7 separate regions of the Mus musculus genome follow, and all the other regions are reported to be linked to region 1. Evidence: microRNA targets listed by miRTarBase, many of them from high-throughput screens and not tested one by one. Region 1 holds a microRNA gene; each other region holds the end of a gene's coding sequence.

What was found. Region 1 holds the annotated microRNA mmu-miR-466o-3p (UACAUACAUGCACACAUAAGAC, at 1,794-1,815, shown strand). A microRNA usually pairs through its seed, bases 2 to 8, with sites in the 3' UTR of a target mRNA and lowers its output. Matches are read on the target gene's strand: a 7mer-m8 pairs with bases 2 to 8, a 7mer-A1 pairs with bases 2 to 7 and ends in A, and an 8mer does both.
Region 2: the mRNA of Gabra2 is a reported target of mmu-miR-466o-3p. Seed matches in the 3' UTR shown: 7mer-A1 at 415-421.
Region 3: the mRNA of Ephb3 is a reported target of mmu-miR-466o-3p. Seed matches in the 3' UTR shown: 7mer-A1 at 912-918 and 7mer-m8 at 915-921.
Region 4: miRTarBase lists Itpripl2 as a target of mmu-miR-466o-3p. Seed matches in the 3' UTR shown: 8mer at 3,055-3,062, 7mer-m8 at 3,052-3,058, 7mer-m8 at 1,510-1,516, 7mer-m8 at 1,500-1,506, 7mer-m8 at 1,448-1,454, 7mer-m8 at 581-587 and 1 more.
Region 5: the mRNA of Zscan4d is a reported target of mmu-miR-466o-3p. Seed matches in the 3' UTR shown: 8mer at 3,203-3,210.
Region 6: the mRNA of Tnfsf10 is a reported target of mmu-miR-466o-3p. Seed matches in the 3' UTR shown: 7mer-m8 at 2,994-3,000 and 7mer-m8 at 2,019-2,025.
Region 7: the mRNA of Piwil2 is a reported target of mmu-miR-466o-3p. Seed matches in the 3' UTR shown: 8mer at 1,960-1,967 and 7mer-m8 at 2,510-2,516.

Annotation. Positions count from the first base shown.
Region 1 is chr2:10,470,796-10,474,863 of GRCm38, forward strand. Mir466o (microRNA 466o) reads left to right here and starts at 1,745; the gene lies at 1,745-1,828. All of the region lies in intron 10 of Sfmbt2 (Scm-like with four mbt domains 2), which reads left to right. Mir669d-2 (microRNA 669d-2) reads left to right here and starts at 849; the gene lies at 849-934. It overlaps Mir466f-3 (microRNA 466f-3), which reads left to right and starts at 1,158; the gene lies at 1,158-1,251. It also overlaps Mir297a-2, Mir467c, Mir466b-1 and Mir669a-3.
Region 2 is chr5:70,958,041-70,962,102 of GRCm38, reverse strand. Gabra2 (gamma-aminobutyric acid (GABA) A receptor, subunit alpha 2) reads left to right here. Exons shown (of 10, transcript NM_008066.4): 10 at 5-3,711. The coding sequence ends at 301. Among named protein-coding and RNA genes, the nearest start is that of Gabrg1, 120 kb to the right of the region's middle.
Region 3 is chr16:21,222,272-21,226,338 of GRCm38, forward strand. It overlaps Ephb3 (Eph receptor B3), which reads left to right. Exons shown (of 16, transcript NM_010143.1): 15 at 1-33; 16 at 137-1,033. The coding sequence ends at 245. Among named protein-coding and RNA genes, the nearest start is that of Ephb3, 20 kb to the left of the region's middle.
Region 4 is chr7:118,486,352-118,490,412 of GRCm38, forward strand. It overlaps Itpripl2 (inositol 1,4,5-triphosphate receptor interacting protein-like 2), which reads right to left. Exons shown (of 1, transcript NM_001033380.3): 1 at 1-4,061. The coding sequence ends at 3,376. Among named protein-coding and RNA genes, the nearest start is that of Itpripl2, 3.6 kb to the right of the region's middle.
Region 5 is chr7:11,158,552-11,162,619 of GRCm38, forward strand. It overlaps Zscan4d (zinc finger and SCAN domain containing 4D), which reads right to left. Exons shown (of 4, transcript NM_001100186.1): 4 at 3,092-4,068. The coding sequence ends at 3,370. Among named protein-coding and RNA genes, the nearest start is that of Zscan4d, 5.6 kb to the right of the region's middle.
Region 6 is chr3:27,335,086-27,339,151 of GRCm38, reverse strand. It overlaps Tnfsf10 (tumor necrosis factor (ligand) superfamily, member 10), which reads right to left. Exons shown (of 5, transcript NM_009425.2): 5 at 1-3,930. The coding sequence ends at 3,485. Among named protein-coding and RNA genes, the nearest start is that of Tnfsf10, 20 kb to the right of the region's middle.
Region 7 is chr14:70,370,941-70,374,997 of GRCm38, reverse strand. It overlaps Piwil2 (piwi-like RNA-mediated gene silencing 2), which reads left to right. Exons shown (of 23, transcript NM_021308.2): 23 at 562-2,521. The coding sequence ends at 718. Among named protein-coding and RNA genes, the nearest start is that of Slc39a14, 22 kb to the right of the region's middle.

The DNA.
Region 1 (4,068 bases):
AATTGATGTGATGCACACCAAGAATGTGCATGTGTTAGAGTTGTGTGCATATTCACTTCTCTATATGAATATGCATATACACACATGCACACACAGTAATGCCACTCATATATCCTTTGAAATGATATGTGCCATAGAGCTTTAGCGCTTATGCGGTAGTGATCCAGAGCTATGTCTCAGTTAGGAGGTGAAACGCTTGCCAGAGTCTGGAGGATCTGGAGTTCAAATTCATGTTTAACTTCATGATGAGTTAGAGTTCATCATGCGATTCATGTGATGCCCAACAAGAATGTGCATGTGTGTATAGCTGTGTGCATATTCACTTCTCTATATGAATATGCACATACACGCAAGCACACACAGGAATGGCACTCATATATCCTTTTGAATGGTATGTGACTTAGAACTTTAGAGCTTATGCAGTACTGATCAAGAGCTATGTCTCAGTTAGGAGGTTAAGTACTCTTGCCAGAGTCAGGAGGATGAGGAGTTCAAATTCATATTAAATTCATGATGAGGTAGCAATCAGTCTGGGATTCATGTGATGTCCCCCGTTTATGTGCATGTGTGCAGAAGTGTATGCATGTACATGTGTTTATGTGAATATACATATACATACACACATATACACACACATGCAAACATACATGTAGGAATGGTACTCATCGATGCATTTTAATGATATGTGACTTAGACCTTTGGAGATTATGTATGACAGGGCCAGTGTCAATTCTCACACACCTGGTGAAAACCCTTGTTAGAGTCAGGAGGTATAGGAGTTGAAAATCATGCTTAACTTCATGAGGAGTAAGAGATCATCCTGGATTCATGTGATGCCCCCTATATATGTGCATGTGTGTATACTTGTGTGTGCATGTATATGTGTCTATATGAATATACATATACATACACACCCATATACACACGCATGCACGGAAACACAAAAACATAAACATAAACACAGGAATGGCACTCATTGATCCATTTGAATGATATGTGACTTAGAGTCTTATAGATTATGCAGTAGTGTGTCAATGAACGGTCTCACTCACCAGGTGAAAGTTGTTGACAGAGTCAGGAGGATCAGGAGTTCATATTCATGCTCAATTTCAGTTAGTGATCATCCAGACATTCATGTTATGCCCCTCATGTATGTGCATGTGTGTTTACGTGTGTGTGCATGTGCATGTGTGTATATGAATATATGTATACATACACACACACATACACACGCACGCAACACACACACACACACACACACACGACACTCATTTATTCATTTGAATGATATGTGACTTAGAGTTTTAGAGATTATGTAGTACTGGGCCAGTGAGTGCTCTCACTCACAAGGTGGAAATCTTGCCAGAGTCAGGAGGATCAGGAGTCGAAATTCATTCTCAACTTCATGTTGAGTCCGGGATCAGCTTCTGATTCATGTGATGCCCCCAGTGTATGTGCCTGTGTGTATATGTATGTGTGCATGTGCATGTGTGTATATGAGTATACATATACATACGCACATACCCATACAAGCATGCACACAAACCCAAAACTGCCACTCATCGATCTATTTGAATGATATGTGTCTTAGAGTCTTAGAGATTCTGTATGACTGGGCCAGGGAGAGGATTCACTCACCAAGTAAAGACCCTTGCCAGAGTCAAGATAATCAGGAGTTCAAGGTCATGGTAAAGGCATGATGAGTTAGAGGTCATCCTGGCATTCATGTGATTGCCCCTATGTATGTGTGTATGTGTTGATGTGTGTGTACATGTACATGTGTGAATATGATATACATACATGCACACATAAGACACATATGAGCACATAGACACACAGGAATGGCACTCACTCATCAATCTATGTGACTGAGAGCTTTGGAGATTATGTGTGACTAGGTCAGGGAGAGTTATCACCCATCATATTAAAAATGCTTGTTAGAATCAGGAGGTCAGGAGGTCAAATTCATGCTTTATTTCATGATGACTTAGAAATCTGCCTGGGATTCATGTGATGCCCCCATGTATGTGTACATGCGTGTACCTGTGTGTGGATTGTGTATATGAATATACATATCTACACACGCATAGACATGTACACAGACACACAAACATGAATGCAACTCATCGATCCATTTGAATGACGTGTGACTAAGAGTTTTAAGATTCTGCAGTACTGAATAGGGAGAGGTCTCACTCAGCAGGTGAAATCCCTTGCCAGAGTCAGGTGGTCCTGGAGTACAAATTCATGTTTAACTTCATGATGAGTTAGAGTTCAGCATGCGACTCATGTGATGTCCATCAAGAATGTGCATGTGTGTATAGTTGTGTGCATATTCACTTCTCTATATGAATATGCATATACACGCATGCACGCACAGGAATGCCACTCATATATCCTTTTGAATGGTATGTGACTTAGAGCTTTAGAGCTTATGCAGTACTGGGCCAGAGCTATGGCTCAGTTAGGAGGTGAGTACTCTTGCCAGAGTCAGGAGGATGAGGAGTTCAAAATCATATTTAATTCATGATGAGTAGAGATCAGCATGCGATTCATGTGATGCCCTCCAAGAATGTGCATGTGTGTATAGCTGTGTGCATATTCACTTCTCTACATGAATATGCACATAGCTGTATGCACACATACTCACAGGAATGGCCAGAACTATGTCTCAGTTAGGAGGTGAATATTGTTGCCAGAGGGAGGAGAATATGGAGTTCAAATTCATGTTTAACTTCATGATGAGTTAGAGAACAGCCTGGAATTTCTGTGATTGTCCCCGTGTATGTGTATATGTGTATAGGTACGTGTGCATGTAAATGTGGGTATATGAACATGCATATATATATATATATATATATGTGTATATATATATATATATATACATACATACATACACATATACACACACATATGGACACATACATGTGCACACAAACACACATGGTAGTCATCCATTTGATTTATGCATGCTTAGAGTTTCATTGAGTGTATATTCATGGGATAGCAAAACATCTCACTTACCAGATGAAAACTGCTTGCCAGAGTTAGGAGTCTCAGGAGTGCAAATTCATGCTTAACTTCATGAGCAGTTAGAGATCATCCTGGAATAATGTGATGGCCCCTATGCATGTGCCTTTGTGCATAAGTGCGTGCATGTATATGTGTGTATATTTTATGCATATACATACACACACCTATACACACATGCACACAGACATGCGAGAATGGCCCTCACGGATCCATTTGAATGATATGTGACCTACTGCTTTGGAGGTTATGTATGACTGGGCCAGGGTGAGGTCTCACAAACCACGGGAAAACCCTTGGTAGAGTCGGGAAGATCAGGAGTGCAAGTTCATGGTAAAGGCATGATGAGTTAGAGGTCATCCTGGCATTCATGTGATTGCCCCTATGAATGTGTGTATGTGTTGATGTGTGTGTACATGTACATGTGTGAATATGATATACATATACATACACGCACACATAAGACACATATGAGCACACAGACACATGGGAATGGCACTCATCAATCCATTTGAGTGATAAGTGACTTAGAGTGAAAATGCTTGCTAGAGTTAAGAGTATCAGGAGTTCAAATTCATACTTATCCTCATGAGAGATCAGCCTGTGATTCCTCCATGTATGTGCATGTGTGTATAGTTGTGTGTGCATGTTCATGTCTATATTTGAATATACATAACATACACACACATGTATAAACGCAAGCACACATACACAGACACAGGAATGGCATTCGCCAATCCCTTTGAATGATAAGTGATGTAGAGTTTTAGAGATTATGCAATAGGGGACATTGAATGGACTCACTCACCAGGTGTAAAAGATTGACAAAGTCAGGAGGATAAGGATTGCAACTTCATGCTTAACTTCATTTGGAGATTATCTTGGTATTCATGTGATGCCACCCATGTATGTGCATGTGTGCTTACTTGTATGTGCATTGCATGTGTTGACATGAATATACATAACAAAAACACACGTGTATATGCAAGCACATACACACAGGAAAAATTGCATTCATTTATACATTTGAATGATATG
Region 2 (4,062 bases), not on the chromosome of region 1:
TTAGAAAAAAGAGAAAGGCTCCGTCATGATACAGAACAACGCCTATGCGGTAGCTGTTGCCAACTATGCCCCGAATCTTTCCAAAGATCCTGTCCTCTCTACCATTTCCAAAAGTGCAACGACGCCAGAACCGAACAAGAAGCCAGAGAACAAGCCAGCTGAAGCCAAGAAAACCTTCAACAGTGTCAGCAAAATCGACAGGATGTCTAGAATAGTGTTCCCAGTTCTGTTTGGTACTTTTAATTTAGTTTATTGGGCTACCTATTTAAACAGGGAGCCTGTATTAGGGGTCAGTCCATGAAACTAGACTTGGTTACTTTTGGGCTGTATAGCAATGTTATACTTGGTTTTGGTTTTGGTTTTTGCTTTGTACAGTCTGACTAATAACTGCTAATTTATGACCCACTATGTATAGTATGTATATATATATAATGGTAGAGCTTACAGTAGACCTCTAAAGGAGACCTGCATTTGCTAACTCATGGAAATACAGGCAGAAAACATCCCGTGCCAAAAGAGCCATTGCCTTTTTAACACATTTACCTAGGAACTAGTTTAAAGTGGGTTTCAGATCCCATTATTTATTTCTTAATGTTCTAATTATAATGAAAGTCGGGATCCCATGTCACACTTTGGGAAACCTTTGATTTAGATATTACATAGAAAAATATTTCTACTGTTGCCTAAGGATGATCAGAGATTAATATTGCCACTCAAATATATGAAACAGCCAAACCTCTGGCCTGGTTGCTTTAGGAGTGTTTAGAACCCCTGCTAGTGTCATTGGAAGCTTGACACACACAAGGAGAAAGCTAGAGATGTGAAACCAGTGTTTAATTACTATGTAGCATATCTATAGCCATGTACATATTACAAGCATGACAAGCTCAAATAACTATGAGTCACCATGAAAGGATGTTAATTACATTTAAATTTAATAACTATTGGAATGTCACAGTCATTCTATTTTTAGCTTCAGAGTTTATTTGAAAGTAGTAATGAACCTTTCAGCTCACTTCAATCATTGGAAACTACCTAAAATTTAGAAGAAGAAGGAGAAGAAGAAGAAGGAGGAGGAAGAGGAGGAGGAGGAGGAGGAGGATAAGAAGAAGAAGAAGAAGGAGGAGGAGGAGAAGAAGGAGGAGAAGGAGGAGAAGGAGGAGAAGGAGGAGAAGGAGGAGAGGGAGAAGAAGAAGAAGAAGAAGAAGAAGAAGAAGAAGAAGAAGAAGAAGAAGAAGAAGAAGAAGAAGAAGAAGAAGAAGAAGAAGAAGAAGAAGAAGAAGAAGAAGAAGAAGAAAAGAAGATGATGATGATGATGATATATGGACTTTCCAGGTATGTGTTGTCAGCTGAACTTTTCTGGTGCTGGAGAAAGGAAGAAAGCTGCCATCTTGGCTGAAATGGAGTGCAGTGAAGTTCACTTATATCAGATTAGAAAGCTGTGCCAAAAACTCCAAGAATGAGAATTCATAGGTGTCCCAGGTACAGAGGAGCACTTATACGATTCTCTTCTTTCCTGTTTACTGCAAATTCTGCCTTAAGGCTTCTCATCAGGGCTCAGAAGCCGCTAATTTTAAAGGAAAGGGCAGTTAGTTGGCACATTTTTCTGTCTGGAAAGCAGCTTTTTTTTTTTTTTCAGACAAGAATTAACGTAAATCTGCTTTTGTAAATTGGAACTTTCAATTTCATTGACTCGAATTTACAGCAGCTTTGTATACCAGAAGAGGTTTTGGTAAGAGTTGAACATTTTTAAACAATGACTTTAGGACACTATCAAAAGATTGTAGATTATGTCACACACACACACACACACACACACACACACACACACACACACACACACACACACACACACACACCTCACATAGCTAAATTAGAAAACATGGTTTTCAATTTTATAAAATTACTGATTGTTAATGGGTAAAAATTCATTTTTCTTTTAATATATGAAATATTATTTATGCCCCTGAAATATGCCCCTGAAATAAGCTAAAGTTAACTGTGTTTCTGTCAAAACTAAATTTACTTATGACCGATGTGTACATTAGCAGTTATTAGTTGACTTTTAAAATAAAACGCAACCTCACGATGATGTTTTTGTAGAAATTAAGTAGTCAAATCGTGGCGTTTCTTGCAGTTTTGTACAGTATTTGAGTAGAGTGCAAACCAGGTCTGTTCACAACATCAATAAAAGGAGCACCTTCTGGAAACAAACTCTCAGCAAAAAAACAAAAACAAAAACAAAAACAAAAAAAAAAAACAAAAACAACAACAACCAAAAAAAAAAAAAAAAAAAAAAAAAAAACCTCGCTGTTCTTTGCCTCATTCAGCTGCCCCGTTTTCTATTCAAGTATGATTTCACTGTGTGTTTTTGCATGATTTGTACTCATACCAGGGTCACAGCTTCATCCTACTAACAGAATTCGCTCTGAAGACAACCTTGACCTTAAAACCTTCCTCACGAAAATCAAAAGTAATCCATCAACCTTAATAAAAGTATTACACGAGCCAATAAATGTATTTTGTTAATTCCCTTTCAGTAACATCTTTATTATCCAAACGAGTTTTAGAGTGTGAATATTGCCCATCTAGTGAAATAAAATATACCCTGGTTTCTTAAACAAATCTGTACAACAAAGGCTCTTGTGAATAGGCTCAGGATGGGTACAGAAGTGTGAAGTGGTGTGACATTTGAAGGCAAATGGTAAGCTGCTCTCCATTGTGAATGTTGCCCAGACGTTAAGAACAGTTTAGGGTGGCAGAGAGAGCTCAGAGGATAACAGCACATATTTCTCTTGCAGAGGGCGTGATTTCAAGTTCCCAGCACCCACATAGTAGTTCACAATTACCTGTGATATGTGCTGTAGGAGCTCTGACACTCTCTGTAGGACTCCTTAGATCGCATTACACGTGTGTTCACATACCCCATGACCCAACTAATTGAGAAAAGAAAATACATCTTTAAAATGAGTAGCTATACTTCTGTCCCACCCTTTGAGTGTCTCATTATAGCTTACATTATTATAAATATGTACATATGTAAAAATGGTTCTAAATAGTTTTGACAGTTAGACAGAAAAGATCCATTTGTATCTTCAACAAAGTGCTGGGGTTATGTTGATGGCAGTACTTTTCAAGGTTTTTATTGATTTTTGTTTTTTTTATGGCAGACAGAGTAGAAAATTAACATTACTGTTTTCATTAATTGAAATAACATAGCTGAAAATTTTCAATTCAGTCATGAGAATAATATATGAATTTAATGACATTATGATAAGTTAGACGTCCCAATTGTGTCTTTCAGAATTTCCTATTGGGTCTTGGACTCTGGCATATTTTTATATATTATTATAAAAAACATCTGTCATATAACAGACACAGACTCCAAGCAAACATATAATTATTTTATTATAAATGCCTAATTCATATAAAGATGTCAATTAAGTTAATACTGAAAATTTATGACCTACAGACCTACTAAAAGGGGCTGTGCTTCTTTTTCTCCTACTTTCAATAACAATAAATACAGCAAAAGAGGTGAACAGAAAATATCCATTCTTTTTACTTGACAATCCTAATTTTCCAAGATATTTTCAGAGATGTATTACAAATTCAAACACATCTGGATAAGTAAACTCTTCAATAATATTTCTAAAAATGCCCTTCTATAGTTTACAATTTATTTAAAATAAACAAAACATTATTTCACTCACATTTTCTTTGGGTATTATTTTTTATCATGTCTCTGGCTGTCTGTCTATATTTCTGTCTGTCTAACATCAATCTATTATTTATCTATCTTCTATCTATCTATCTATCTATCTATCTATCTATCTATCTATCTATCTATCTATCTATCTATGTAGCTACCTACCTACCAACCTACCTTGACACACCAAGTCATCATGAGGCTAGAAGTATTATTTCCCACTGAGGCCAGACAAGGGAGCCAAGCTAGAAGAACATATCCTACATATATAGGCAATGGGTTTTCGGATATCCCCCACTCCAGTTGTTTGAGAACCACATGAAAACCAAGCTGCATATCTGCTACATATGGAC
Region 3 (4,067 bases), not on the chromosome of region 1:
ATCCTTTGACCTGGTGGCCCAGATGACTGCAGAGTAAGTGTACCGCTCAAGGTGCAGGCTCTGGGCAGGAACTCTGGCTGAGCCCAGCGTCGCGGGTAGAAGGGAGGGACTGAGTACCATTTTTTTCTGTCTCTAGAGATCTGCTAAGGATTGGGGTCACTTTGGCTGGGCACCAGAAGAAGATCCTCTGCAGTATCCAGGACATGCGGCTGCAGATGAACCAGACCCTGCCTGTGCAGGTCTGACACTCAGCTCCAACGAGGGGGGGGTGCCCCCCCAGGACTGCACAAGGATTCTGACCAGCCAGCTGGACTTTTGGATGCCTGGCCTCTGGCTGTGGCCCAGAAGATGGAAGTTTGGGGGAGGACCCTAGCTGTGACTTCTCCAGGCCTGTGCTCCCTCCCAGGAAGTGTGCCCCAAACCTCTTCATATTGAAGATGGATTAGAAGAGGGGGTGATGTCCCCTCCCCAGATGCCTTGGGGCCCAGGCCTGCCTGCTCTCCAGTGGGGAGTCTTCACAACTCAGATTGGGCTGCGCTTCAGTAATGGACGTCCTGGTAGGGTCAGGTGGGGATAAGCCTGGGTTCTTCAGGCCCCAGCCCTGGCAGGGGTCTGACCCCACCAGGTAAGCAGAGAGTACTCCCTCCCCCAGGAAGTGGAGGAGGAGACTCTGGGGATGGGGAGATATGGTGCCCCATCCTGAAGCCAGCTGGTACCTCCAGTTTGCACAGGGACTTGATGGGGGCTGAGGGCCCTGCCTACCCTTGGTGCTGTCATAAAAGGGCAGGCAGGAGCAGGCTGAGAAGCAGCCTGTGCCTCCCAGAGACTGACTCAGAGAGCCAGAGACTGTGTGTGTGTGTGTGTGTGTGTGTGTGTGTGTGTGTGTGTGTGTGTGAAAGACGGGGGTGGGGGTATGTATGTGTGTGTTGTGCACATGCTTGCCTGCACAGAGAGCATGAGTGTGTACAAGCTTGGCCCTGTGCCCTGTAGTGGGGCCAGCTGGGCAGACAGCAAAATAAAGGCAATAAGATGACTCTTGCCCCTGCTCGTTCTTCCTCCCAAAGCAGGTTTCCTTGATTTCCTCATGTCAGTGAGGGAACTAGGGGGCTGCTAGACCTTCACAACTTCCTGGGGGTCAGTGGGAAACTACAGCGAGGCTATCCAGGCCCGATTTCTCCTGTAGTTCAGCCCCATTGCTTTGAGCATCTAATAGAGTTCTCAGAAGTTCCTTGTTTCTGGGGCTGGGGGACAGGCTCTGGAGTCTGCGTGGTGTTCTGTAGAGTCCCTGAGGGAGAGCTAGAGGGTTAATCACTCCCCAGGGTCTCAGTATGGCTCCTCTTCCTTCACTAAGCACTGAGTGCACCCAGTCTTGGAGCCAAAGCCAATTTTACATCCACATCTTATTTCAACTCAGTAACCCAGCCAGGAGAAGAGGGAGATGTTTAGTAAGTTGGCCACAGTTCCCATCCAGCACTAGAGCCAGAGGCTGGAAACCCCTGTCTATAGACAGCCTGGAGAGGCTTGGGAGATGCATATCAAGAGTCCGGAAGAGGTCTGAAGTCTCTGGAGTCAAAGGAAGACTTGTGCGTGTCAGGATATGGAAATGAAAAGGGACATCCATGATCCTGGGTAATGGAATGGGCTGGAGGAAGTGAGTGTATGCACCCTGGGTCTGTTTTAACCAGTGGTGGCAGGGTGAGAGTGCAGGGGAGGACACCCTCACAGGGAGAGATGCAGGTCCCTTTGGACCAACAAACAGAAGCGGGCAGGGTATAACAGATGCAGTCCTCCCAGAGTAACCATAGGTGCTGCCTAGAAGAGCTTTCTGAAATATCTGTGAATCCTAACTTAGAGTGCCCTTCACTGGGAGGGACCAGGAAGGCCTAGTAACATGGGCATGTACAAGGGTTGTCAAGTGTGGCCACCTCAGTCTGGTGTTTCTGGCTCCTCCTGGGTCCCTTCACCAACCCCTGGCAGACAGGTTCTCAAGACTGCCTCTCTACCCCTTGCATTCGGTGCCCAGAGTCCTGCAGTACATACTCACCGTGAGGGGGGTGCACCCACAACGTGGATCCTCAGTAGCCCCCATGCTCCAGGGAGGGGGTGGGCAGGAGCTCCCCAGTCATCTTCCAGTGCTGTCGTCAGTGGTGTGGGCATAGGGGTACAGGAGAAGGGATGTGGGCATGGTTGCCATTCCCTTGCTGAGAGTTCACAGGTCCCAAGCCTGCTTCCTACTCTTGGGAGGGTGGCCCTCTGGATCAGTGAGAGGTCTGTGGCTCCTGTCTCCTGGGTAATTTTTCCATTGTCCCACCCCACACAATGCTGACTGTGGAGATCCACTCAGAGCGAGGCCAGGATCTGCAGGGTGGACTGGAGCCTAAGGCTAGAGGTGCTCAAGTGCTCTTCCAGCTCCGTCCAGCCCACTGAAGCCTGCATGATTTCTTTCTTTATGGGGGTATGAATGTCTTCCCCTGTCTTCCCACAGTCTCCTGCCACTGTCAGCCAGAGTACATGCACGTACTCTAAGCCTATTCCATTATCCACACACCACTTACATTACCCGTTTTCATGCCCTCAGTCTGTCCACCCTAGCCCCCCTCTTAGCCTGGGTACCTGCAGGGTTTCCCAGGACTCAGAAATAATGAGGGGAGGGGCCTGCAAGAGTCACTGCATTCCTGCCAGCTGATAGAGCCAACTGGTATTTTGTCTAGAGAGCTGGGATGTATTCAGACCCTAGAACCTCAGAACAAAGTAGTGAGGGAAGCAGGGTCTTGGCAGAGGAAGAGAGAGCACCCCAGGAGGGGTCCAGCTTCCCTACAGGCAGATAAGGAGTAGGGGGGGATGGAGTTCTCAGTCTGTCTAGTCTTCCGTTAATTACACACTCTGGGGCAGATTAGCTCTCCCCAGTCAATGATTTAAAAGAGAAGCCAGTGGGGAAGAGGGGAGAGGCAGGCCCTTTCCTGCTGAGGCCAGGTGCTGAGTAAGACCTGGGGTAGTGTAGTGTAGTAGGAAGCGCAGCCTACACAGAGCCCAGGCCGGGTGTGGAGCAAAAAACATCCTCTCTCTCTCTCTCTCTCTCTCTCTCTCTCTCTCTCTCTCTCTCTCTCTCTTCTCTCTCTTCTCTTTCCCTCTTCCTCCCCCCCCCACACACACACACAGACACACACACACAGACACACACAACGTGACCTAGGCAGGTTGACATCAGAGCCGTCCATCATCTGTAAGAAGTATATGAATCTTTCTATCCCATGAAAATGTTACAAATGCCCAATCGTATTAATAAATGTAACATCTGTATGATGGTACGTGCTAAGAAATGTTAGCTCCTTTTTATTGTTGCTATTATTTATTAATGTGAAACTTGAAGGAAATATAGAAGCCGTCAGAAGTGAATAGTACTTGGTTTGTAACAGTCAAATACAGCAAGGCCCTGGGAGTGATGCCAGCCTCAGTCTTGGGAGGAAAAGATGAAAAAGCTAAGGAGCAAGGAAAGGTGGGACTGAGGGACACAGAGGTACAGGATTCGCCCAGCCCTGCCCCTGGGTGAGTTGCTGGGACCTGAGTAGTTTAAAGTCAGTAAGAGTTTAAAAGATGGTGAAGGGCAAGTTGCTGAGGGTGGAGCTGTAGGGACTCATTCCTCAAGCATTTGTTGGGTGTCTGCTACCACACTGCAGTACTGGGATGGGCACTAAACACACAGAGAAGCGAGGGGAACCAAATGCTTGCAGGAACCAAGAGAACGGCAGGAATGAGATTCAAACAACCACAGAAAGGGCTGCCCATGATTACAAGTCAAGAAACGCCACAGAAGGCAAGTTGAGGTTTGTGGAACCCCATCAGCAAGGCTGGGGGCTCTCACCAGTTATGGGATGCCCAGCAGAGGGAGCTGGGACCCCCCATGACCATCAGGGTGCTTCTGTGTGTCCAACCTTCTAGTGTCTGACCTTGAGTATTCTCCATCCATACCCTCATTTACTTATTCAGTGCACACCTGTGGCACAGGTGGGGGTGTGGCTCCCTCTACAAACCAGTTCTAGTTCCAGTGAGGGAGCTAAGAACTGGGG
Region 4 (4,061 bases), not on the chromosome of region 1:
AGCCTACCAGGAACTGGGATAAATGTTATCTGTGGCTGTATTTTGTTTTTTTTGTTTGTTTGTTTGTTTTTTTCTGCTGTTATTCCTATAACAAAGCTTAACTCTGAGAGATAAAGTAGAAATGAACTAACACCCCCCCCCACACTTATATATATTTAACCACTGTCTCTATGGCAAAGAATATAAGCCTATACATACCTGGGAGAAGGCTAACTGTGTAAGGCAAGGGGTCGCAAACTGCTGGCCTCAGGTTCAACCAGATATCTGGCTCACTTGGTGGTTTCAGACTTTTTAAATTACTTCTTAAATTAAAAACCAGTGAGCGTTAGTATTTTAATTTGAAATGCCGATTGTTGGCCCAGCCCTTTATTTTCCAGTCTGGAGCTGAGGTGAGCTGCCTCCTTTAAGGTAGGCACAGTCCCCACACCCTCCACCCTCTTATTTATCTCCCTGCCTTTAGGCTGCTAAGTTTGTAACTCCTGACCTGAACTAGCACATACTTAAAAACACATTTCCTCACCCAAAACTCTCTCCCACCCTTGAGGTGTCTTCACCCTTCTCCCTCCCAACTCTTCCTTTCACATACACCTTAAGACCTCCTCCCCACAAATCCTCAGAGAATATTTGCATCCATTCACACTGTCCTCTCCTTCATTTGCAAAACGCATATTCTCCCAGCCCATGAGCATTCCAGGAAGGCTCCGAGCTGGGCAGTGGGAATTACTGAGGTGTCTGGACGCAAAAGAGCTGAGTCATCTTCCTCAAAAAAACGATTTTCTTTGGGCACTGGCTAAACAACTCTTTTTATTTTTTGGTAGAGCCATCGTATCTGAGAATATTGGCATATATGACTCTCCAGCACCAAATATACACCAAAGGTGTGTGCATGTCAGATAGAGGCCATGACAGTAGCCATATGAAATGCAGAACTGAGCTGAATTGAAAGGCCTTGGGCAGCCACTGGACTCAGTTCAAAGCCGTATTATTGCATCTGTACATAGTACATGTTTCAGATCACTAAATATTGATCAAAATTGATCGAAATCTCTTGTTTTTGTTGCCACATGGCAAGAACAACTGTTCAGCATGGCATTTAAATAAAACATTAATATTTTTTAAAAAATTTACAAACACAATGCCCATTAATTTAATAATAATAATAAACTTTAAAAGTTTGAGGATGGATGAAGCTTTGGGTAATTAATACAAAAAAAGAAAAAACCCTACAAGAAAGATACGTTTATATAAGCTATTCATATTTATGATCCTAACCAGATTTATACTTTAAAATATTATCAAGACTTTTTAAAAAAGGGATTCCTTAGCTAGAAATTTCTAGCTAAGCTAGAAATAGCTGGAAATTTGCCTCTCCCCTGTTCTAACTTAATGACTACAGAGGCAGCAACAGGCTGAATGTAGAAATCATGTGTGCATTATACACACAGACACATACACACACACAGATACAGATACACACAGAGAAACACACAAACACACAGACATACACACACATACACATGCACACACACACACATGCACAATCTTCCCTTGGCATTGGCTTTTTAAAGTAATTAAAATCAAACCGACTGTGCAGTTTCAATCTTTGCAAGAGGCTGACAGAACAACCCTTTCATCCAATGCCGTACCTTATAACCAAATATTGGCCTCAAAAAAACGAAGAATGATCTCTGGGGTATCAAGAGGGATGGCCTCCAAAACAACTCTCTTTCAGTCAGAGTTGCAAAGGACAAATGAGAAGTCCCTACACTCTATTCCCCTCGATTGCCAACCGGGTGCCCCAAAGAGAGTTTGCAGAGTTCCCTCCACATAGCTAAGAAATGAAACAATGACCCCATTCATGTGACTATTTTTATCTTCCAACTTTCACTTTAAGGAGTCTAAGGGAGCTCAGATCTTTGTTGTTAAAAAAAAAAAATCCCTAAGTGTATTACTGAGACTGGCCACACTTCCCACGAGGAGAGAGGAAGACGAAGCTTTCTAAACTTGAACTGCTATTGGAAGTTGTCTGGAAGGCAGGAGGATAGGAGGCACTCGAGGATGGGATCCTCCCAACAGCAAGGGGCGCCCAGGCCAGGGAAGTTCAGAACTGAGAAGGGCAAAGACTGTAAGCCAGCTCCCTCTTTTCTCCCTCTGCTCCTGTCGCCTATCTCTTCTGCCCACTGCTGGAGACTGACAGGTCTCCAAGCACACACCTCATGCTACTATTTTACAAGTCATAAGCAGAAGCAAGAATTGACTGGCCTTCAATACGATGTAAGGCTGCTTAGGCAATCAAGAACCTCCCAGCCACTACCCCGATATCAGACATCACTGGACCCTACCCCATTCCCAGGCAGCACACCAAGCATTTTCTCCTCAGAGGTCCTTATGCTCTGAGACAAGCCTACGGGGCCTTTGCTCAGAGGCTCTGAGACCTAAGTGGGTTGTATCCAGCCTACGATGAGCCCTAGGCAGGAGCTTCTAAAAGACTTATGTTCTACACTTTTGCCAGACCTGTCTTAATCAAGGATCTTTCCCTCTGCATTCTGCCTGGCTCAAATGAACAGGTATTGAGTGTCAAGTGCAAATCCCCACCTATGACCTGGAGGAGTGCTGATGGTGGCTGGCTGGCTGCTTTTCAGAGCCCTGGTCTTTCAGATAACTGTGTGGAAGCTCTTTTGAATAGCCCTTGGTTCCAACAAACACAGAACAAGAAAATGACTAGACATAAAGTGCCACTTGCTCTGAAAGTCTCTGACCAGCTCTTGGCCACCTCTTAGCATTGGTCACTTAATTTATAACAACTCCATTAATCTTATTCAACAAACCTGTGATTGCACCACTAAAAAATACATGCATGCTCATGGAAATAGCTAAATCAGGACTCTGGAATGCTAACAGCTGGACTAGAATTTCAATTCCAGTTGTGGATAATTATTCTTTAAAAACAAAACAAAAACTAACAAACAAAAAACTGGGAGCCCAGGATGTAGCTTTGTGGTAGAGGGCCCACCTAGCATAGGGATCTAGGATTCTAGCCCCAGCATTGAAACATACATACAACACCCCTCCAAAACTAGGGATCAATTGGGAACCTAGTATTTACCAAATAAGTATATCAAAGGTGATTGCTTCTAATAATTCGGGGTCAGAGACATCTGTGTATGAGACCACCCAAGATACTCTAATAGGTCTGCAGAAGATGCCACTGATATCTTAGGCCATAGAGCCTAGGACAGAACATTTGTGCCATCAAATCCTGTGACATCCTTCAAATTTTCCCACACCTTGAACAGCTCTTCTTGAATTTAGCTGCCATCCGCTCTCTCATCTCATGGGAAAGGGGCATTTGGTCAGGTGGAGTGTAATCAGGGTTCATGGTTCATCTTCAGGGGAGCCCTGGATGCGTTGACTCCGGGGTGCTGGACACCTGGCAAGGTAGCGGGGACCACCGTAGACTCGGAGAAGCTGGGGCAACCTTCGCCACGTGGACAGCAACCGCGCTGCTGCAAGCTCCCGGGAGTGCGGGTCGAAAGGCGCCAGGAGGTCAACAGGAGCGGCCTCCCGCAGCACCTTGGGCAGGGGGCCAACCTCGGCAGCCGCCCCAGTCGGACCTAGGACACAATGGAAGAGATCTCGGCGTCTCAGCAGGCAGTCCCTAAGGAACTTCACCAACTTCTCCAAGCACTCACTCAGGTGTGCCTCGTCCCAGCTGGGCGTTGGGCTGCCCTCGTTCAGAAGCACCTCCAGCACCGCCGTTTTGAGCACGTAAGAGGACAGGATACGTCCCCAGTGTGTAGCAGCCATCGGGTCCAGCCCGCGGGCACCCAAGTCTCGAAGAGCCTTAAGCAGCTGCAGGCACTTGAGATAGCAGGCACCTGGAGGCGCCCGTTCCTGAAGCCAGCCCAGCAGTTTCTGCTCCTGACGTGCTGTGTTCACACCCCACAGAGCCTCGGCGCGCAGGCCACCCGGGAGCTCTGACAGGGCCCCGCTAGGCGAGGGTGGTGGTGGTGGTGCCACAAGGAAGACGCCATCACCCAGGTGGACAGCAGGGATGAGGC
Region 5 (4,068 bases), not on the chromosome of region 1:
TTCTTAATCTACATAAGGTATGTGTGTTGTAATGTGATTATTCTGAGTTCTCGGGCTAAAGTCTATTTCTCAGTAAGTACATACCATGTGTGTTCTTTTGTGTCTGGGTTACAACACTCAGGATGATTTATTCTAGTTCCATCCATTTCCCTGTGAATTTCATGAAGCCATTGTTTTTAATAGCTGAGTAGTACTCCAGTGTGTAAATGTCCCACAATTTCTGTATCCATTCTTCTGTTGAGGGACATATGAGTTGTTTCCAGTTTCTGGCTATTATGAATAAGGCCACTATGAACATAGTGGAGCATGTGCCCTTGTTATATGTTTGATCTTTTTTTGGGGGGGGTATATGCTTAGTAGTGGTATAGCACTCTTTACACTATTCCATCTATACCCATAGATAGGAGTGACACTAACAACTCATCAGAAAAATGTGTTTGTGCTGTGAAGGGGTTATAAAACTAAGCAAACTGTAGAGAATGAATGACTCTGTTATGCTCAATCACAAATGTAATAGCTGTATCATTCTCTTTATCAAGGTTTCAGATAACATCATGGTAAATAAAAGGAAAAAAATTCAGAGTCTGATGTAAGAGATTTCTCTCATGGATCTTTCCAAAAGAGAAAAGTAAGTATTCATATTTAAAAACTGGTATTCTTAACCTTCACCTTCCCTAAAAGACATGGTATCCATGTGTAGCTCTGCATGTCCTGGAATTTTCTAATTAATGCTGGCCTCAGCTCAGAGATCGGCATGCCTCACCCTCTTCTACTGGGATTAAAGACATTCATCACCACAGTCTGGTTAAAACTTGTTATTCTTTTTTTTTAATTATTTTATTTTTTTATTTAGTTATTTACATTTCAGCCATTTGGACCCTTCTTTCTCAACTTCTTGAAGAGTGGTTCTCAACATTTTAAATTCTGCACCCCTGTAATGCAGTTCCTCATGCTGGGATGAATCCCAACCACAAAGACATGTTTGTTGCTACTTGATAACTATAATTGTGCAAATTTTATGAAATGTAATGTAAATATCTGACATTAAACCTTATGAGCATGTCATCTAGCCACAATGAGGTTTCCTCACATAGGTTCAGAAACCTGTTATTGAAAGTTGGCCACAGAATCAGAGATATGCCACTGCCCCTGCCTATGCCTATGTATAGGCACCTGCCCTGCCCAGGCCTAAGTACCTGCCTCTGCCTTTATACACTGCTGGAATTAAGGTATTGTAACACCATTTTCTCAGGTTTGTGTGAGATGGTGTTTTGAGGGTTTTTTTTTGTTTGTTTGTTTGGTTTTTTTTGTTTTTGGTATTTGTGTTGTTTGTTTGTTTGTTTTTCCTGTTTTAGGTGGTGGTGATGATGGTAGGCTACTTATTTATTTTATCATTTTGTTTTTAGGAAAGATATGTTGTGAGTCTTTTAACAGAGAATGATTGGATTCTAGTGTTCCTGCTGACAGATGCCAGGTACAAGGATTGCAGGGATTCTCCATATCTGGATAGCACAGTGTTATCATCTGAATTCTACCTATGATGCTTACCTGTACAAGGCTTAATCCCTAACCTTAGGATGCAACCTTATTTGAATATGGCACTGAAGCTAATCCAAACCTCTGAAATCCTGCAAAGGCTATAATCTCAAAATATAGAAAGCTAAACTAAACCAAAAACTCAAATCCATTAAACGTTAATGTTGAAACAATGAGGAACAAAATTATCCAACTTCACTAGAAAAATAAAGACCGGAAAACGAGGCAAATCAAAAGGGTTAGAGAACCAAATGCTGGTGACTCGGTCCAGAACAAGCAATGCCAGCAATAAAATCCTAGGTGGGGAAATGTATAACTTGTGTTGGTATTCATGTCAGCTAAGGCCATTGTGTACTTTTTTTAATATATATCTATTATGATATATTTTCCTCAACTACATTTCCATTGCTATCCCAAAAGTCCCCCATACACTCCCCCCCACTTCCCTACCCACCCATTCCCATTTTCTTTTTGTTTTTTTGGCCCTGGCGTTTCCCTGTACTGGGGCATATAAAGTTTGCATGTCCAATGAGCCTCTCTTTCCAGTGATGGCCGACTAGGCCATCTTTAAATACATATGTAGCTAGAGTCAAGAGCTCCGGGGTACTGGTTATTTCATAATGTTGTTCCACCTATAGGGTTGCAGATCCCTTTAGCTCCTTGGGTCCTTTCTCTAGCTCCTCCCTTGGGAGCACTGTGATCCATCCACTAGTTGACTGTGAGCATCCACTTCTGTGTTTGCTAGGCCCCAGCATAGTCTCAAAAGAGACAGCTATATCTGGGTCATTTCAGCAAAATCTTGCTAGTGTATGAAATGGTGTCAGCATTTGGAAGCTGATTATGGATACTGATCATTGTGTACTTTTAAAACTGAAGCCTTCTAATTGCCTGCTGAAAGGTATCACCAGGAACATCGTGGCAAAGTCATAATGCATCCTCAATGTTTCTACCTGATATGGGAACTTACATAACTCATGGGAATTGCAAGCGCACATACACAGACCCCAACAACTCAATTAGCCTGTGCCTGTTGTCTTCAACTCTGCACAGAATCCTGTTTCTCAACATGACTCTTATGCCACTTCACATTCTTAACATTAGTTTTTTGAAAGTTATTCATGGAAAAAGACTTGCTTTTGTCAGCTATTTTTCATCATGTGAGACAAGTATCCATAAATCCTGCTCCTTGAACCAAGTGCATAGGTGCTCTGAAACCAGAGCTACACAGAATGTCGGGAGAATGATAATTGAACAGGTAGGGGAGGACCCACCAAACTACTCTGAGCAATTGTTGATTATTTTTTTATTTATTATTCCACTTTGAACGTCATTCTAGTAATGTAGAGAAATATTCTTGAACTGTAAGCAGTAGACATGACATGAGATGTCTGAAGAGGCAATGCATTTAACTTGCAACCCTAAGACTTGGGATGAAACCCCAACATGTTAAAAAATGTCAGAGGGAATGGCAGGCCTCTGTCAGGACCACTGTAGAGAATAAAAGTGGAGATCAGAAAATGTTTGGAAACTCTAGTGCCAGAAAGACAGGTGTATAAAGCTGCCAACCAGAAAGACACTGTCTAAAAGCAAGAAGCAACTCAAGAATTAACAGCAAAGTATTCTAATAACTTATGCTGTGGAACTATGGAAATTACAGACAAAAAATTACATACACACACACACACAATAAAAAACAAAACATAAAAGTGGCAATCCACAAGCATGTTATATCATTATTGGGACAGTACAATTTACTTGCAACATTCTTCTCTCTTTGAAGATGACATACTGAGGCTGAAGCCCTACCAGTCTCTGCTGAGGATGTTAGATACTTCAGTCAGATCTGTGGTAATTCCTCAGGTGACGATGGTAAGTGGATGATTGGCGAAAGCGACGGCTACATAGGGAACAGACATAAGGCATTTCTCCTGTGTGAATCATCTCATGAGACTTCAGGTTGGTCTTGTGGCTGAAGGACTTTTCACATGTGCTGCACTTGAAAGGCTTTTCTGGCATGTGTATGATCTCATGGGTTCGGCGGTCAGAGACTCGTTTGAACATTTTCTGACAGGTGACACAAAGCAATTCACTCTTCTTATTCAGGTGAGTTCTCTGGTGGGACGAAAGGCTCCTGGCATGTTTGAACATCCTAGAACATTCTTCACACTTGAATAGTTTGGCATCTCTACGGAATCTCTTTTGATGACTTTCACATGGTAAGTTTGCCTCATGATCCTTACCAAGAAAGACAGGATCAGAGATAGGCTCCTCTTGCCTAGACTCCAACCCTGGTAGCTCCCTAGGGTCTTTTTCAGAAAAACATTCCCCAAGTGACTCTTGCAAGCATGTAGATGTTCCTTGACTTGCTCTTGTAGAATCCTGAGGAACTCCATAAGGAATATCTCCCTCCTCAGGCTCAGAATGATATATTCTCTTGTTAATGGAAAGGGAGTCTGTCTTTTTCCTGGGAATATTATCACTTCTATATACTTGAGTAGCTGCATTCCTGGAAGTGTTATAGCAATTGTTCTT
Region 6 (4,066 bases), not on the chromosome of region 1:
TGCCCGTAATGGGAGAGACCCTGTCTCCAAGAAAAACAGTAGGCAGTGATGGAGTGGCAAAGGCCACAGTCTATAATAACAGGAGACAGGGCAAAGACCAAACTGTTGAGACTCCAGACGTCACAGAGCCCTCCCTTGGGACCAAGAGAATTTACAAAAGTCTTCCAAAAGACTTAAATTCTGTTTCACTTAAAAACAAAAAAACAAAACAAAGCAGTAACAACAGCAACAACCCAAACAGGCAAAAGAACACACCTCAGATTCAGTTTTACCATGTGAAGCCCCACCCTGTTCCTCACAGATTCAGTTAAAGCCTGCTGCTCCATCGGGGTACACCAGCTTATCTCTTGTCTTTAGCTCCAGTTGCCTATGGTCTAAAGGTAAGCGACCTTTTTTCATTTTTGATTTTGTTTTTAAACCCGAGAATTTGAAGATGTTTATACTCATACACTTTTAAAAGACTTGATACTGAAGAAATTAAGGGAACCTCGCCACCTGGTGGCACTAATGGTGTGTGACATTAAAGAGGCCCCTTTTGGTCTGAAAAAAAAAAAAAAAGAAAGAAAGCTTTTGCCTAGACACTTCTCAAAACAGCAGAGCTGGCCTCTGCCCTGGGATCATTGTCCCTGTGCTTGCCCAGGTGGCAGGCTCGTCTTAGTCTTCAAGTCAGATGGCTTGTTGGGCTAGAACTCAGCAAAGAAAGGACAACCCCCGCCCCCACCCCAAATTGATTTCTCTTTCAAACAGATAAGTATTCATGCCTTTTATTAAAGGGCTCACAATCGCCCAGAAAGTTCTTATTCTAGAATATTCTCTCCATTCTTGCTTCCTGCATCACAGGCTTCAGATTCTAGCAGAAGAAAGAATATTTAGGTGTGCTTGTTTAAACAAGTCATGGCATTTAATGTTGCACACGAATTAAATCTTTGAACATCTAATGATTTCTCTGGGTATGCTGCATTCTTAAATATTTAATTTATAAGTCACAGCATTTGACATTTTGGCAAAGATGTGTCCTGCAGGCTGCCTGCTAATTACTTTAAAAAACTAAAATGCACGCACAAAAAGATCTCTGAGCACCACCCCAGGATTCCGATCCTGTTGGATTGTGGTTGAATCCAGGCCTGGGCGTTATAAAATCTTTCACAGGAGATTACTATAGAATTAACAGCAGACAAAGAATGTATACGTTCAACACAAACATTAGAAATCAGACACTGGGGCTGGAGAGGTGGCTCAGTGGTTAAGAGCACCGACTGCTCTTCTGAAGTTTCTGAGTTCAAATCCCAGCAACCACATGGTGGCTCACAACCATCCGTAATGAGATCTGACGCCCTTTTCTGGTGCATCTGAAGACAGCTACAGTGTACTTAGATATAATAATGAATAAATCTTTAAAAAAACAAAAAAGAAATCAGACACCATTTCGCTTGCCAGCTTGGCAGACAAGATGAAGTGCTGTGAATTTTGCCATCAGTGATGACTTGGGGACCAGGAATTAGAAAAGCGCTCAGTTGTTTCTGCCATTTAAAACCTTAGGGCTGTGGTGCCGCTCAGTGTGGGGGTTCATGCCTACTGGGAGTAAGACCCTGGGTTTAGTTTTCAGCCCTGCCAAAGGTCAAATTCAGGTTGTCAAGATTTTTGACAAGTGCCTTTCCCTTCCATCTTGAGCTTTCAAATGTTCTCCATTATTTCTCACAGCCTTTCCGATGTGATCATTATGTCTATTATTAATTAATACATTCATTTGGTTCATGTAGACATGACATGCAAGTACTTTACTAAGGCAAGATTTTTACTATTAAGCTATGTTGTATTCTAGTGAGAGGAGGTATTCAAGTGCTTATATTCAAGTGGTAGCTGTGACTTCTATTTGCTAGTTTATAAGGGCTTGAGTCATAAAAAAATAAGAAGGGGTATCAGAAGTGACAGCTAGCCATACTCTTACATTCAAATAAGCTTTTAAAAAAATACTTTTGTGTATGGATATATTTTGTCAGAATGTATGTCTGTGTATCACATACATGCATTGCAAGCAAAGGGCAGAAAGTCAGACCCCTTGGAACTGAAGTTACAGCTGTTAACTATCACATCAGCGATGAGAATTGAACCTGGGTCCTCTGGAAGTGCTGTTTTCCTCTGAGCAATCTCTTCAGGCCCCCAATAGGCTTAAAAAATGTTTCATTAAAACACATATGGGCTCCTTTGGAGTTGTTTGGTTTTAGTTAGTTTTGTGTTACTCTAATGAAACTCCAGGCACCAACATCTTAAAAAGAACAAGTGTTCAACATCTTGGTAGGTGGAGTGGACAGACAGATGGAAGAGCCAGAGGACTGGGTGACAGTCGCAATCTGGACAAAGCAAGCATGGTGAACCTAGTTCAAACTTTATCCTGAAAGTCAGAGCAAATTCTTCACTGTTGCACATTCTAGAATATAGGGACACAAAGTAAATGCTTGCATTCAGAAAGGAAGAAATGGAGCTGGGACAGAGCTGAGGGTGGCATGGTTGTCACATGTACAAGAAGCCTGGCTCTACACAAATCAGACAGGGGGGCACATGCCTATAATCTCAGCAGATCTTGGAGGCAGGAGGTTGCACAGTTAGAGATCACTCTTGACTACATATTGGACTTGAGGCCGGCCTGGGAAACATGATAAAACTAGCAAACAAGCAAAGGAGGACTGGGGCCATATCAAGGAGGTAGGCACCAAAGACCTAGACCCACAGGCAAGACCTCCTCCAACTCTACACCTGGTACCCAGGGCCTGCAGCAGTGGCAGGATCTGAGCTCCAGCAGGGTGGGGCAGCCCTGTGGTATGGCTCTGCGGGCCTCTTTCTTGGGCTGCCCTCATTCATTGCCTGGAGATTTCATACATTCTTTGGGCAAGGTTCCACTGATGATGGGATATTATGTTATCATGTATAGAGTTATGTTTTTCACTTGAGAAAAACATAACCAGTTACCATAAAGAACAGTCACACACACACACACATACATGCACACACACACAGACACGCATATACACACAGGGGCACACCCACTCTGATTTGGTAGGTGAGATATTCTGTGATTTTTATGCTGACCTGCATTCATAGCTATCCTGGTCTGCACACAGCCTGTGAGCACTTGGCTTTACACCCCTGGACCAGATAACAAAGGTGAAAATTGTCAATTGTTGCATAAATATTTAGAAACTGGACGTCTTCTAGATCTCTGCAAACTGATACCAGGTAGATCATTGAAAGGCTACAGTGATCTCATTTTGCGGAAAGAAAGCAAGTCTCTCGATGAAACACCGAAAGTGTCTGTGGCTGGACTGTTGGCCTGTCGCTGCTGAGTTCCAGCTGCCTTTCTGTCACATCTGTCCTGAGGTTTCTACAGCCAGGCCATATCCTAACCAGTTCAGTCGCTTTCCAGGCATGCCTTCAACCTAGAAGATTACTGGGTACTTTAGGGCTGTGTTTGATCTTTACTGGTCATTTAGTTAATTAAAAAGGCTCCAAAGAAGCTGGCTTCTTGATCCAGGTCCATCAAATGTTCATTTGTCACAGAAACAAAAATCCTGTCATTTTTTTTTAGCTCGAACAATCCTCCCTGATAGATGGAGTACAGTCCGTACTCGGCATCTCTGGACCAACAGCTGTTTCTGGCGCTCTTCATGAGCACTATGGGATCCGGATAGCTGGTGTACTTGTAGATGTACTGCACCAGCTGTTTGGTTCTCACCTTGTCCTTTGAGACCATCTTGGAAGCGTCTTCAGCTTCCTGAAATCGGAAGTATGTTTGGGAATAGATGTAATACAGGCCCTCCTGCTCGATGACCAGCTCTCCATTCCTAAAGAGCACGTGGTTGAGAAATGAATGCCCTTTCCGAGAGGACTCCCAGGATTCAATCTTCTGGCCTAAGGTCTTTCCATCCTTGGAGACTACGTGGAAACAAAAGAAACAGTTAGTGGGAAGACGTTTACATCGAATGAGGAGATACCTCAACTGCTCCGCACAGTCAGTATTTTCATTGGGCTTGCACACAATGTGGTTCCAAAATCCACCTTCTTACACTTT
Region 7 (4,057 bases), not on the chromosome of region 1:
ACACACGTATGGTGTTTTGCCTGCATGCATATATGTATACCACATGTGTGTTTGGTACTTGTGGAAGTCAGAAAAGGGTGTCAGATCCCCTGGAACTGGAGTTACAAATGCTTGTGAGCTGCCTTATGGTTGCTGGGAACCAAACTCGGTCCTCTGGATACCATCACACTTGTGCTGACTTACTTTACCCATCCTTTGGCTTATGTGAAAATATAAACAACTCCAGATGAAAAATAATGGTTTCTCTCTTGGACAGACCTAGTGGCTCACACCTACAGTTCCAGCACTTGAGAGGCTGAGGCAGGAAGATCACTGGCAACTCAAAGCCCACCTGGGCTAGTGGAGTTACTAGCCAGCATAAGCCAGATAGTTGAGAACCTGTACCCCAAACCAAACTAAAGAAAGAATTATAAAACTAACAATTCCTGAAAAACAACAGTAGGTTTCCCAGACTCCCCCAGTCTGTTGGTAGGAGTGCTGTGTTGTATCCCCAAGAGAGTGAAATCCTTCCCACCCCTAGGTGGAGGTAGAAGTGATAACACATTTTCTTCTTAACTTTAGGTTGACTTTCAAACTATGCCACATGTACTGGAATTGGCCTGGTACCATCCGAGTTCCAGCTCCTTGCAAGTATGCCCACAAGCTAGCTTTCCTGTCCGGACAGATTTTGCATCATGAGCCAGCCATCCAGCTGTGTGGGAACCTGTTCTTCCTGTAACTGGGAACTTGGACACCGGCTGCAAGGAGCAACTGGACTCAGCTCAGCTCCTCCTTACAGAATCAACAGAAATGGCAGTGGAATTTTATGTTTGCATTTTCTCTTTCTCCATCCTTGTAGAATTAGATTTCTGTTCTTCTTTTAACCCTGATATCATAGTAGGGTGTTGTGGTGCATGCCTTTTATCCCAGCACTTGGGAGACTGAAGCAGGAGTATCTTTAGTTCAAGGCCAGCCTAGACTACATGGTGAGTTCTAGGCTAGCCAAGATTACAGAGTGAGACCCTGTCTCAAAAAACAAAAACAAACCACTGTCCCCTCAAAGCCCACAACAAAACCAAAGCCTGGGGTCAAGGAAGCAAGTTTGTAGGTAGCCGCTGGCTGCCCGCTGCCTTCATGGAGTGTGTGCCGTCAGCGCTGCTTCTCCTCAGCCGAGCGTGGAGCTTCGGACAGGGCAGTGATGACATGTTCTTAGCATGTCAAATCCCCCTACCAAATAAGTCAAGCAAGGAAAAAATAGCCCCCAAGGCAGCCTGAGCATCAGTTCCTAGAGGTTATGCCTACAGAACCATCCTATTTCTGGTGGCAGAAGTGACATGAAGTCATTGCAGACATCTTAAAGGAGAGTTACTGTGCAGCTGTCTACATGTGTGAAAGACATGTAGAAAAACCAGCGTAGGGTACAGTCGGGCGTATGTGCCCACCTGACCCAGGGCTGTGAGTCTGACTTCCCGAGAGTCTGGCTAGAGCTGCTTTTCTGGTCCTTTTGGTTATTTGCAACCATCATCAGATTGCTTTCCTGCAGCCCGACTGATACACGCATGTGCGCACGCACACACTTTTGTTCTTTGTGACTAATCTTGAATAAATTCAATTAGAACACATGGAAAGGATTCAGCAGACCTAGGAACATTTGGGGTGGAGTGTAGTTTTTCTGCAAAAGTCTGTAAATGAGATTACGCAAGAGTCTCTTCCAGCTGTGGGCTGGTGTTGCTTGGAAAATTTCAAAATCCCAAAGTTTCAGGCTTCCCAAAGTTGGCTTGGAAAAATGTGATAGTCTCACCTGAGTCTAGACATGTAGGAAATTTTCCTAGGGCCTCTGGGCTTCAGTATTTGGGGGAAGCACTGGTTTTCTGTGTTATTTTTTTCCTTCTGTTTCAGAATCTTCAAGTTTCTTCAGGCTTCAGTGGGCCATCCCTTTACTGGGCTCTAAAAGCTAATTTTACTTAACCTTTTCAAATGTGTATGTATCTATTTATGTTTTGGTGTGGTGGATGGATGGTAGGGGACTGAGCAGAAATAGTCATTTTAAATAACAGTGTGCTAGGAGAGCCTCAGTGTGAAGTCCTGAGGAGCAGCGGGGGCTGTGGGAGTCAGTGTCAGCCCTCACTCAGACAGGCCAAGCCTGGGCTCGAAGACAACATTGTCCAGGGAAGCCTTTAGTTTGCTATAGCACCCAGAGGTTGGCGAGGAATAAGGGTTAGGGTCCTCAAATACACCCATGGCTTTTGGAGTCTATGACCAAGGCCAGGCTGAGACCTGAAATGTAAAAGCCATAGAATTAAACAGAACAGACTGAAAAACGAGTCTTAAGTTCCACTTTCTGGATTTCTCTGGAAGTCTTTTGAATTTGTCTGTAGAAGTTGCTGTTCCTAGCACTCCTTTTCTCTTTAGGTAGAACAGATACTTGACCATAATGCCAGAATGTACTTTCTCTGCCTTGGTTTTTCTATGCCTTGTTTTTCAGTTTCAGGGCCAAACAATTGGGCCCTGTGGTGTAAAATAAAAACAATGTATGTGTATAGTTGTGTCTGAGAGAATATTGTTTATTAAGTGGCTTTTCCTTCAAAGAGAAGCAAAAGTTAGAGTTATTCCTTTATTATTGTGCGTGTCAGGGGCAGCACCATTGGGAACAAAGTGATTTCACCCTGAGCAAACTGGGAGACCTACATAGCAATGCATTAAGTTTGTGAATGTGTTTGAATCATTTGGGGCTTTGGGTAAATAAGAACCCTCACCAGCTTACTAAGAGAATACTCTCCACTAGTATATTTTCATCAGGGTGCTAAAAAAATAAATATAATTACTTACTTATTTTATTGATTGATTGATTTTTCAAGGCAGGGTTTCTTTGTGTAGCCCTAGTTGTCCTGGAACTCACTATGTAGAATGTAGACCAGGCTGGCCTCAAACTCAGAGGTCCACCTACTTCTGCCTCCCAAGTGCTGGAATCAAAGCTGTATGCCAACACCACCTGGCTTGTTAGTTTTTCTTTCTATTTTTAAAATCAATTTATTTATTTTTATTTCATGTGCACTGGTGTTTTGCCTGCATGTATGCTTGAATGAAGGTGTCAGATTCTCTGAAACTGGAGTTACAGGCAGCTAGAAGCTGCCATGTGAGTACTAGAAATTGATCCTGGGTCCTCTGGAAGAGCAGCCAGTGTTCTTGACTGCTGAGACATCTCTCCCTTTGTCAGTCTTTCTTAACAGTTACTGTTAGCTCAAGAAAGAACCAGTAAGCTTTCGCCAGAAGTGACCTCTCTACCATTAAGAATTTTTTTTAAGTTACATTTATAATATGTAGGGAGGCAGGGAGATAGAGGTCAGGCCTCAAGGTCCAACACTTGGGAGGCAGAGTCAGGAGGATAAGAAGTTCTCGGTCACCTTTGACTATATATTGAGTTTGAGGCCAGGCTTCAGACATGAGACCCTATCTCAAAAAAAAAAAAAGCACACCAGTAAGATGGCTTGCTGGATGAAGGAACTATGCCCCTAGCCTGATGATATGAGTTCCAGGAACACACACACACACACAAACCCCCAAATAAATGTCCCTGTTAAGTACACTTTCTGGTGTGTCTGTAACCATTGGCCCAGTGACAGTAACCTGCCTCATTGTTTTTATCACTTCCAACCACATGCCTTTACAACCCTGCATTTCTTTACATTTGTTAAAGAAACTCTATGTTTTAGAGGTCTTGTTTTGTCCCCTTCCCCTTGGTTTTTTGAGACAAGGTTTTTGTGGTGGTTTGAATAGGAATGACCCCCGTAGACTCATGTGTCTGTATGCTTGGCCACAGGGAGTAGCACTATTAGGAGGTGTCCTTACTGAAGGAGGTGTGGCCTTGTGGGAAGAAGTGTGTCACTGTGGAGGTGGGCTTGGGTTCAGTTATGAGCACACACATGGTGACTCACTACAATCTGTAACTCTGGTTTCAAAAGATCTGCTGCCTGCTGATCAAGCTGTAGAACTCCCAGTTCTAACAGCACCATGTCTGCCTAGAGGCTGCCATGCTTCCCACCATGATGGCTAAAGCTCTGAAACTGTAAGCCAGCCC